3 linked regions of the Astyanax mexicanus genome follow. The protein of the gene in region 1 interacts with the protein of each later gene in a pairwise test. Links are inferred from orthologs where the notes say so. Each region holds a gene or a part of one and is shown on either strand. Other genes may lie near its edges. The genes, in order: araf, nelfcd and mitochondrial import inner membrane translocase subunit TIM44.

Region 1 (3,755 bases):
TTAGTCAGTGCTGCTGCTACTGCCTGTATAATGCAACCAGGAACAGGAATTTCAAGTTCTAACGCTGACACAGACTTTCACTGATGCAAGACATACTTGGCAACCCCACAAAAGCTACATGAGCCGTAAGATGAGCTAAATGTTGACTCAGCACTTGTTACTTAACTGTACTTATATATCCACTTCGAACTCAAAACATGACTACAGTATTTTAGTTACACTTTAGTTACACATCGCTTATATAGCTTTGGAACAAATTGAGCGTGAGACCAATTAATTTTCTAAATCGGTTTCTCTGATTTTGTTATTTATTGGTATATATAACCTTTCTCCCAAATTCCAAATACAAATATTGCCATTTAGAGCATTTTTTTCAGTTTTCAGACCTCAAATAATGCAAAAAAAATAATGCAATAAAGTTTATATTCATAAAGTTCTAAGAGTTCAGAAATCAATATTTGGTGGAATAACCCTGTTTTTTAATCACAGTTTTTGTTCATGTATCTTGGCATCATGTTCTCCTCCACCAGTCTTACACACTGCTTTTGGATAACTTTATGACACTCATGGTGCAAAAATTCTTGGTTGGATGGCATCCATCTTCCTTTTGATTATATTCCAGATGTTTTCAATTTGGTAAAATCAAAGAAAATCGTTTTTAAGTTGCCTCTTATTTTTGTCTAATGCTGTATATAAATCTTATATTAATTATATACTGACAGACAGACTAAAGGGCAGGGATTAAGCCAAGTCATAGACTAAATTTTCTTTTCAATGGAAAATATCCATTTAAATATATCCATCCATGACTAGGCTTAATCCCTGTCTGGGAAACTGAATCACTCTTCTGTCCAATCACAGCTTCATATCCTCTCCCAGCACCTGACTACTCCATTCGCTAGGACCGCACCAGGCACCTGACTCGTGCACTGCTCACCTTAACCTCAGCTGAACCTGTGCAGGAAAGCTAAGGAAAGGTGTGGAAACCCCTGATCAAAGCTCTCCAGCCTCTCACAAACACCTGATAAGCTACAGAAAGCTCCACCTGCTGGTAGGATAATCCACAGGAGCCCTGAGAGAAAACCAAACTCAGATCAGGACAGGTTACTTCTTCACACCTTTTTAATTAATACCACTCAGAGACAAAATTTAAAACACCTTTTTAAAATAAGAACACTGATATTAAAGCAGAAGTCCATGTTATTTAGTTTCTAAACTGAAAGCAGAAGCATTTCTGAGTGGAGAAGAATGTGGATAAAATATTGCGTTTAATTGTACCATTGTGCTGGAGCAAACATCCCTGCTAAGCCTAATAATATATTCAGTCTAAAAACTGGGGTGTCGGGTTGCTTTTTACAGTTCTTCTGGCCACGTCACGCGTCTTTACGTACTTATGTCACACGTACAGCCTCTAAAAGAGGATCCGGCTCAGTTTTACGCTTTTACAGCTGAAAGCGAGTGACTGGTGGAGCAGTGGAGACTTCAGAAGAGGAAACTCAGAGCTCAGTAGTTTATTTACTCATGGTAAAACCAAAGAAACGAAGGAGTGAAATTTCTCACTGAGCGCTTTCTTTCTCTCTCTCTCTCTCTCTCTCTCTCTCTCTCTCTCTCTCTCTCACTCTCTTACTAAACATAACCTGGAATCGGATTCATCTGCTCTGGACCGCATCACACCCACCAAGTTTAAAATGATTCTTACACATGCTCTGTGCAATAACCTATTCTCATCAGAGTGAGGCCTAAATCCCTAAAAAATAAACTTTTTAGCCATTTTTTAGATATACAGACAGACAAACCAGACAGACAATAAGACAGGTATATAGAAAGACAGACAGATAGATAAGACAAGTACATAGATAGACAGACAGGTTTTTAAATGAACAGACAGCTAGACAGATAAGATACAGACAGACAGATGACTGACCGACATACCGACAAGACAGAGAGACAGATACATAGACAGGGACATAGAAAGACAGACAGACACATAGATAGACAGGCAGACAAGACAGATGCATAGACAGGTACATAGATAGACACACAAGGCAGACAGAAAGGTAAATTGACTACTGTAAGTACAAGGAGTAATATTTAATACATTTTAAGAATCTGCTGCTACAAGTGCATTTCTTATGAATGCCAGTATATTGTGATATCTCTCGGTATATCGGTAAAACGGTAAAATGTTATAGGTAAAAAGGTTACAGGTAAATATCGTGATACAACTGATATCTGAATAAATCACCCAGCCCTGCTGTGGAGCGGTAGCTACACTCACAGCTCTTTAGCCCGATAGCACAGGCAGGCCCGGGCCCGCAGCGGGGTCCGTGGGTGAGTCGGTTCCGCTGGTGGAGCCGGGCAGGACCGGCGGGGCTCGGGGTTCGGTCCGGGCGGGTACGGAGGAGCGGCAGCTCCGTGTCGGTGAGGCGGAAAGGGATTAGCTGTGTTTAGCCGCTAAGCTAACAGGCTAGCTGCTGTTAGCCGAGCTGCTCTTCTGCTTCAGAAAGTCCCGCTGCAGCCCGCCACCCGGGTCCCCCCGAACCGGCACCCGAACCGAGCCGAGCCGGCCGGCTATTGCTGCTCCCTGCCCCCGGCTCCCCCCCGGACCCGCGCTGTTTCCCCGCGGACTCTCCCTCACTCTGCTGCTGAAGTAAATACTCACCTGAGCCCGCCATCTTGAATTCTCTCAATCTGAAGTCGGATCAGAAGATTTCAGACGCGCAGCGGAGCGCTCTGATTGGCCCGGTTGCTGCAGATCTTCGCTCGGATTGGTCTCTTTTTAAAGCACGCGTCCCGGATTGGTGAAACGTGTTCCACACTGTGGAAGGAACGCCTACTCCTTGTGATCTGTTTGGTCTGTTTTTAGAAAACGCTACCCTGATTGGCTACACGATGAAAGGAACGCCCACCTGTTGAGATGTAATTGGTTTGTTGTTGAGAAATAGCGTCTCTCATTGGTCAAAAGAGTTTTACAGATCAAAGGATCGGTCAAATCCACAAAACTCTTACTGCTTACTTTACTTATAGACAGACAGACAGACAGACAGATAGATAGATAGATAGATAGATAGATAGACAGGAGTGTGCATACGTAAAAAAATAAAAATATATATTAAGAATTTGCAAGAAATAAAAAATATACTGCTGATGCACAATTATAATATGTGTGAGTAATAAGTGTTATCTATAGACTATGCAAGAGGAGTTGTAAAGATGTAAATGATATAAGATGTATATATGATATTAGATAGTAATATTAAATATAAAAATAAATAGATACATAAATAAAGAGTGTAATTTAAATTCAGATTTTAAACCACTATTTAATAAGATAGTTTAAAGGCAGTGTGTGCAGTAAGTGTGTAATTACAGTGTAGTTAGAACACTAGAGGGCAGCTCAGGCCCTCAGTATGTTGAGCTACAGGCTAAATGCACTGTTTGACCTCTGCAGTGCAGTGAGATACTGCTGAAGTGTTGTTTTAATCTGTCACTTGTTTCTTCAGCTGCTGTAAATTTTCTCTACAGGCCAAATAAAAGCATCCACCAGGTCTAGTCTATGGCCCAGTCCCATTTCTCCTTTATACCCCTGCCTCTTACTTTCAAGTGTCAAAATCCCACAAATTAAAACTTCTAATCACTTAATTTATTTGGTCTAATTTAAGTTCTGTGAAATGTGTTTTGTATGTTCTACTGCCAACCCTAAAATTTAGGACCAACTTAAAAAAGGAGCTATAAAATGTTTTGGATTTACATAC
Region 2 (3,755 bases), on another chromosome or scaffold:
CAACTAATGTAATAAGTTTCAGAAGGAGATTGTTTACCGGTTCAGATGTCTTTGTGACCCATTCTAAATTCCCCTTTAGCCTACAACAGTGTTAAAGCAGTACAAACCCATCTGAATGAGCCACTCAGCCAGCAGGTTGACAGTCTGTGCCACAGCAGAGTAATTCTCTGACAGGAGCTGGATGACATGTTCAGGTGAACCACCTGCCTGAAAATACCTGTGAAAACACAGTGGAATTAGATTCTCGTGCATATTCACAAACATATATATTTACACTGCCTGGCCAGAAAAAAAAGTCACACACTCTAACATTTTGTTGGACCGCCATGCTCCCTAAACCACTCTTTTACAATTTCAGCCCAATGAATCCTGTCATGTCATCTTAAAATATACCTGTGCCATCAGGGAAGAAAAAAAAAATTGATGGAATAACCTGGTCTATATTCAGTATAGTTCTCCTATTAGGCCCCAAAGCTGCTAGAAATAAATTATCAGACTTAATGCTAAATCTGTCTGACTTCTCAGTCACACCTGGTTCAGCAGCTAAAAACCTTGGAGTTATTATAGATTCAGATCTAGCATTCGATAAACACATATCTAATGTTACTAGAACAGCTTTTCTACACCTACGTAACATCGCCAAGCTAAGAAACACCCTATCACTGCGTGACGCAGAAAAATTAGTCCATGCCTTCATTACCTCAAGGCTAGATTACTGTAATGCGCTACTGTCTGGATGTTCTGGCAGTAAATTAAATAAACTTCAGCTAGTTCAAAATGCTGCAGCCAGGGTCCTTACTAAAACTAGAAAATTTGAGCATATTAGTCCAGTCCTGTCAGCACTGCATTGGCTTCCAGTCAAAGTCCGCATAGACTATAAAATTCTCCTGTTAACGTATAAAGCCCTACACGGGCTCGCTCCTGAGTATTTACGAGACCTCATCTCCTGTTATGAACCACCGCGATTACTTAGATCTCAGGGTGCTGGTTTATTAGTAGTTCCTAAAATTCAGAGGAGCTCTGCAGGAGGAAGAGCTTTCTCTTATAAAGCGCCTCAACTCTGGAATAATCTCCCCGAATATGTTCGGGACTCAGACACAGTCTCAATCTTTAAGTCTAGACTGAAAACTTACTTGTTTAGTTTAGCTTTTGGTAATTAATGTTTTTCCCTTTAGATAAGGCTGCAGATTCAGGGGTTCATGGACAGAGGGAATTGTGGTAAACTGAGATGCTGGTGCTGCTGTTCTCCCACTGCACACGGTCACTCAGGTTTGTGGACGGTGGAGTGGGTGGATGCCAGTGTTTCAGGGAGCCTCCATGTCTATGTTACCTTCTGGCTCTCTGCCTTTAGTTAGGCTGTTTTATTCAGTTCTGCCGGAGTCATTAGCCACACTCTGATAATGTTTTATATTCTCTGTTTTACATAAATTCAGTCAAAACTAATTCCATCTCTCTGCCTTCCTCCGAGTTACTGACTGCCCACCTGTCTGACCCGATACCGAGGGATGTTGGACCCTCAGGCTCTCATGTCCTCTGTCTGGCCAGACTGGAAGTTACTGAAGTCAGCTCTTCTCCATCCACCACCACAGATCAGCTGCTCATCATCCATCTTACTCTATAAGCCATTAGTGGAGCTGCTATACACCTGAATATATAAGACCTATGTGGATGTATGAAAGACTTTTTAAAATTAATTTAAAAGCCATTTGACCAGTGGTAGGATGGTCTCCCCTTTAATGTGAGTCTTGGTCCTCCCAAGGTTTATTCCTCCTCCTGCAGCTCTGAGGGAGTTTTTCCTTGCCTCCGCGCTCACTGGGGGTTCTGTATTATGTATTTTCTATGTTTAATGTTTTGCCTGATTCTTTGTCCTGTAATCATGTTTCTGTAAAGCTGCTTTGTGCCAACACCAGTTGTAAAAAGCGCTATAGAAATAAATTTGATTTGATTTGATATATATTTAGGTAGTCAACATACTGTTGCTGAACCTTGACCTGACCAACTGCAGCATCAACCCCACATCATTTACTCACTTACTTAAATCCAAGACTTTATGACCTGGCAGTGTATATATGGGCTCTGGGTGATTAAACAGAACACGTTTCTAAAGTACTTACGTTTTTAATGTGTTAAAGACTGTAGGCTCCATGATATAGTCTCTGCTGGAGAACTTCTGGAGGCAGTCCTCCTGGATCTTCCCATTTGCTTCTGCATCCATTACATATCCGTCCTTATTAACCAACACACAGAACACACACTTAGAAATTTTAGAGGCTGTAATGTCCTGTACTGTGAGTAATTTTCTAAAATAAACGCTTTATAAATGATCGCTAGGTAAATGTAAACAGCAAAACGCTGCATTTAAAGAAAAAACTTATTGTTGATCAGACTTGAACTGCTGCTGCACTGTTATTTAAGGTAAATTCAGCCTGGCACAGTTTCCCACCACGTTTCCGTCCCACTCTCCCGAACCGCTGTAATACTCCTCATCCATCTCCGCTGATCCTAGATTGAGTCCGCTTTATAATAACGATCTGTTTACAAAATGAACAAGAACCAGCTCTAGCACTGCGGCCGCATTAACTACACACACACACACACACACACACACACACACACACACACACACACACACTGCCGCCTGCTGCTCTGGAGGGGCAGAAAGGTCCGGACGAAAATAATACTAGATCTTGTGTTTTAGGATTATAATAACTGCTAAGGATAGTTGTTACTTACTTAATAAAATAATCCGTAAATTAAATGTAATATATATATATATGCGTTTTAAAGGTGATCTGGCTCCAGGCAGGGCTGCTTATTGTTCAGTAAACAGATGACTGACGCGAAGATGAACCAATAAGGAGGGACCGGATGTGGAGACGCTATTTCCTCTGGTAGCAGGCCTGCAGTTCGTCCTTGGTTGTCGTTGAGTTAAGGTTCCTCTCTCCGCGGATCCGCAGCAGAAGCAGAGTAAAGATGGTCGCGTACTGGAGGCAGGCTGGACTCAGGTACCGGCGGGGTTTAGTAGCTGAGCTGTGCGGATCTCGTGATGGTTATTAAAGTGTGTGTGTGTTGGTGTTGTGAAAAATACGCTGGTCTGTTAGCTTTAGCCTCAATGCTAGCTGTCTGAGTGACCCTGAGAGACGCATATGTTTCTCCTCCGTGTTTGTGAATATCCGCTTTTCTTTCCCTTCAGCTACATCAGGTACTCCGCTGTCTGCGCCCGGGTGGTCCGGGCGGCTCTGAAGCCGCAGTTCAGAGTAGAGGCTGTGAAAAATGCAGAATCCAGCGTTCGAGTTAATAAAGTGAAAACCGCGTAAAAATGTAAGTGTTTATCAGATTTTGTTGATTTATATTTAAACTATAACTATTTTTGGTGTGTTTCTACTAATATTCCTGCAAAGCAACGTTATTCATTCTAAAAAATAAACCCAGCAGGGTGTCTGTTCTGTCCGGGACGGTCTGCCTTTGACTGCCTTTTTTGCATACCTGAGCAGCCAGATTGCTGCTAATGGCACTGAGCTGCTGCGAACATGTAGATAAATATCTGAATGACTGTCTTTATCTGTTCATTCAGTGGTGAGACAGATCTAAAGAGAGCTGGCATGCTGAAAGAGCGCAACTCAGCCATCCTCATTAAAATCACCAGATTCATTGACTCTAAAAGGAGTCTACCACAGTGCACCTTTTAAAAATACTTTTTATCATGCTACGTGCACGCGCTTACAGACTGTTTAGCAGACCATCTCATCACTGCG
Region 3 (3,755 bases), on another chromosome or scaffold:
TTTAAAAATCGTTTATATAACTCAGCACTGCTCAAATATGAGCTTCGTTTTATTCAACAAAAAAAATCATCCTTCAAGTACATCAACACATCAGGGTCACATGTAACATGGTCATCCTTCATTACTCAGCAAGATACTGAGCCAAAATACACTTCAGAGTCAGGAAAGAAGTCAACAACTCAATTGGCTTAGAGGTTAATGTAGTTTAACTGTATATTGGCAAGAATCTGGATACAATACTTACTACAATATAAAAGAAAGTAGAAAGTTACACTTCCATATATTGCAATATATGGAAATATACTGTGAAACTGTAAGCAACACAAAATATGACCCTTTATTCAGACTAGCAGGCAACAGAGCGACACATGGCCAGCCATTTTCTAAGCAACGACGCAATTTATAGATGTGATTTGTAGCCACAATTCAGCAGCAAGCAGCAATCGGCACTGTTACAGACCACCGAATCAAACCAATCAGACATGGAGGTCTGAGGTAACTAGCTTCTGCTACTGAAGTTTTGGTTTTCACCAGCACTTCATTCCTATCCTTAGCTGTGTGGTTCTGAACATGGACGTGTGGCAAACAACCATCATTTCTTCTTTTCTTGTTTAATTTTGATGCATATTTGCACATAAAGGGGGAAACCTGAAGAAAAATGAAGCAATAAAATATAGCAAAACATAAAATCACAATACCTTGCTACGTACTGATATTTTTGTATACCTCCAGCTCTGTAAATTTGATCACAGAAGCTAATTGAAATAGCTGCCAATGTTGGGCCATTGAGCAAGGCCCTTAGCCCTTTCTGCTCAATTCGTATAATTATACATTATATAAATAAAATATAAATAAACATACAAGTATGTACAGAACATCATGTAATGTATAATATTGTAAATAGTTATTAGGTCAGCTGATCATCAACATCATCTGAAGAGAGGTGGCGTACGTGTGACCGGTCATGATTTAAATTTTATACTAAATAAAGTCAATTACATCTGTAGAAATAATATTTAACTTATTTATTTCCCATATTATATTATTAAATAAACAAATATATTTCAATAAAATAGCTGCCAATGTTGGGCCACTGAGCAAGGCCCATAGCCCTCCCTGCTTAATGAGCACTGTTTAATGGCTAGTACTGAAGTCCTGAAAAGTACTTCTTTCTTCTAACAATTACAAAGGATATAAATAAAGTATTAATAAAAATACAAGTATTCACATTACGAACATTATGTTAGGTGAAATACTGCAAGTAGTAATTAAACAAAAAAAGTAAAATCGTGATGAGATGGTTTTATATATTAATAAACCACACACCAACATCAGTTCAAACCACCTTGATGTCTGAAAGAGAAGGTGATTTACCTGTACAGCCACTGACTGGCACCCCTGGACCCTGCCTGAACTTAACACAGGATTCCGACATGCTGCAGACAGGACTGTGCTTCTCCTGAGCAAGAGCTGCAAAACAGAAAAACACTAAATATTTCACATTTATTAAAAAGTACATTCAAACCACTCTCTTACATTTATTATTACTGTTTTATATTTTATTTTACATTGGTCTTGTCTTTAAGACCAAATCATTTCTAGGTCATCTAGCTATATACAAAACTTTAATAATGCCAGAGGGAAATTTGCATATCACAGTAAACCAAGAAACAGAAATGAGACTAAAATAAGAATGTAACAATATAATAGAACACTTAGATAGTCCACTGTAAACAGTATAGCAGGTAATATTTCCATTCAGTGAGGTGTAGAGTACCAGTCAAAAGTTTGGATACACCTCCTTATTTAATGTTTTTATTTCATTACACAGTAAAAAAAACAGTGTTTGTTCTCCACAATCTCCTGACCTAAACCTAAACCACAGTGTGAAGGAAGGAAAAGCACCAACTATCATTCAGCACCTCCAGAAAATCCTTCAAGATGCTGAGAAAACTATTCCAGGTGCCTCTCCCTCATGAAGACACTGAGATTAACAGGTAAATGTGCTACTTCTAAAGAATCTAAAGAATACAACATATTCTGGTTAAACCTTTTTTGTTTACATATTTATTCAACATGTCTTCCTGTATAGCTGTAATATAGTCTTCAATATTAAATTTACAATGTAAAAAATCATATAAAGAAGGAAAATATTGAATTAGAAGAGATGTATCCACACTTTTGACCTTGTTATGCACATGTAAAATGTGTAGAAACAGAGGAGTGCTGAAAGCAGTTGTGAAAAGTAGATAATAATAGGTAAAGTGGGCTTTTAAAGATTATTTAAATCAGACCATATCTAAACTCTTATCATATCATCGTGTCTTCTAGCACTGAATAGTGATTACTACAATATCCATGGTCTCACCTCCATTCATTGTCAATAAGAACTCCTGTCCCCAATCAGCCACAAGTCTATTGGAGACCCCATGAGGAGCTCCATGACTGAGTTTTAATAGTCACCTAGCACTCTTTTCCTAAGTATAATAACTAAACACTAAAGGCTATATCTCTATAGACATTTCGACAGAAAATACAAAAACGTGCAGTGAATGTTACACACACAGTAGCTCATGTATATGTAGTCAGTGTTGGCTAGAAATGAATGGATGGAAGCTGAAAGATCTGCAATGCGGATTAACAGAAAGCAGAAAAGAGACAGAAACACAGAGACCCGCCCCCTCCACGCGCTGCCAATATAACACAGCTGCGTGTTTATCTATCGCCGCTTTATTGCCGATATTTAGCCGCCAAATACCGCAGAAACAGCGCATATTAACAGTAACCTCACCCCAGAGCACCTGCACAAGGACGCCGCCATCTTTCACTCAGGTTGCGTCACACTGCGGGTCAGCTGATCACCGACGTCATCCGGGGGGAGGTGGCGTACGTGTAACAGGTCATGTTCATTAAATCATTAAATGTAATACTAAATAAATTTAAATACATCTCTAGAAATATTCTTTAACTTATTTGTTTTTCATATTATATTAATGACAATATATATATATATATATATATATATATATATATATATATATATATATTTTTTTTTTTTAACTTAGCATTTAAACTGTATGTTTTATTTTTTTTTTAAAATTAGTTTATTTTGTTAATAATACAATACAGAACAAAGAAAAATAAGAAAAACTATTTAATGTATATTGGATTATTTATTATTTTATTTATCTATTTTCTGAGTCTTGTTTTTAAGAGCATTGCAGAAAGTGCATTCTTAATAAAAGAGAAAAAAAATATATATATATATATATTTTCCTGGCTCTGTTCTATTAACAATATAAACAAAAATAAAAATAAAAAAATAAATCTGTATTTGAACTGCACGCAAACATTGGTGGTGCTTTTAAAAAAAACAATTAATAATTTATAAAATTATAAATAAATAAATAAATAAATACATCAATATTTTTTTTTTCTTGTTTCTGTTCTATAAGTTATGGAATAATAAAAAAGTAGAATAATTGGTTTAACCATGATATATTCATTATCTATATTTTTTCTATTTCACAAAACATTCCTAAGCAGTAAAAAAATATATATCATATTGTGGGGTGGTGTTTACTCTATTTTTCCAATGGATAGTGGGTGGGGCCAAGCTACTATCATAATACTTATGATTGGCTGTCACAATTTGACCATTGAAAGGGTTAATAAACTTAAATCAAATCTGCCATGCTGATTAATGCCACTAACTAACTGGCAGCTGCCACTTGCAGGCTTTTAGCTGCCTCTAG

What was found.
Region 2: the proteins of araf (region 1) and nelfcd interact in binary tests that used the Homo sapiens proteins (3 or more experiments, as listed by UniProt). The link is inferred for Astyanax mexicanus from reciprocal best matches to the Homo sapiens genes ARAF and NELFCD.
Region 3: the proteins of araf (region 1) and mitochondrial import inner membrane translocase subunit TIM44 interact in binary tests that used the Homo sapiens proteins (3 or more experiments, as listed by UniProt). The link is inferred for Astyanax mexicanus from reciprocal best matches to the Homo sapiens genes ARAF and TIMM44.

The regions. Positions count from the first base shown.
Region 1 is NC_064429.1:9,224,383-9,228,137, forward strand, and holds the start of araf (serine/threonine-protein kinase A-Raf), read right to left. Parts: upstream 2,743-3,755; 5' UTR 2,663-2,742; intron 2,522-2,662; exon of another isoform or gene 938-2,521; intron 1-937. UniProt on the Homo sapiens protein: Involved in the transduction of mitogenic signals from the cell membrane to the nucleus. May also regulate the TOR signaling cascade. Phosphorylates PFKFB2.
Region 2 is NC_064412.1:43,669,344-43,673,098, reverse strand, and holds the start of nelfcd (negative elongation factor C/D), read right to left. Parts: upstream 2,611-3,755; 5' UTR 2,492-2,610; coding exon 2,444-2,491; intron 2,228-2,443; coding exon 2,115-2,227; intron 218-2,114; coding exon 108-217; intron 1-107. Other genes in the region: atp5f1e (ATP synthase subunit epsilon, mitochondrial), read left to right, coding at 2,974-3,005, 3,194-3,317. UniProt on the Homo sapiens protein: Essential component of the NELF complex, a complex that negatively regulates the elongation of transcription by RNA polymerase II.
Region 3 is NC_064411.1:48,748,452-48,752,206, forward strand, and holds the start of mitochondrial import inner membrane translocase subunit TIM44, read right to left. Parts: upstream 2,867-3,755; 5' UTR 2,822-2,866; coding exon 2,792-2,821; intron 1,471-2,791; coding exon 1,375-1,470; intron 1-1,374. UniProt on the Homo sapiens protein: Essential component of the PAM complex, a complex required for the translocation of transit peptide-containing proteins from the inner membrane into the mitochondrial matrix in an ATP-dependent manner.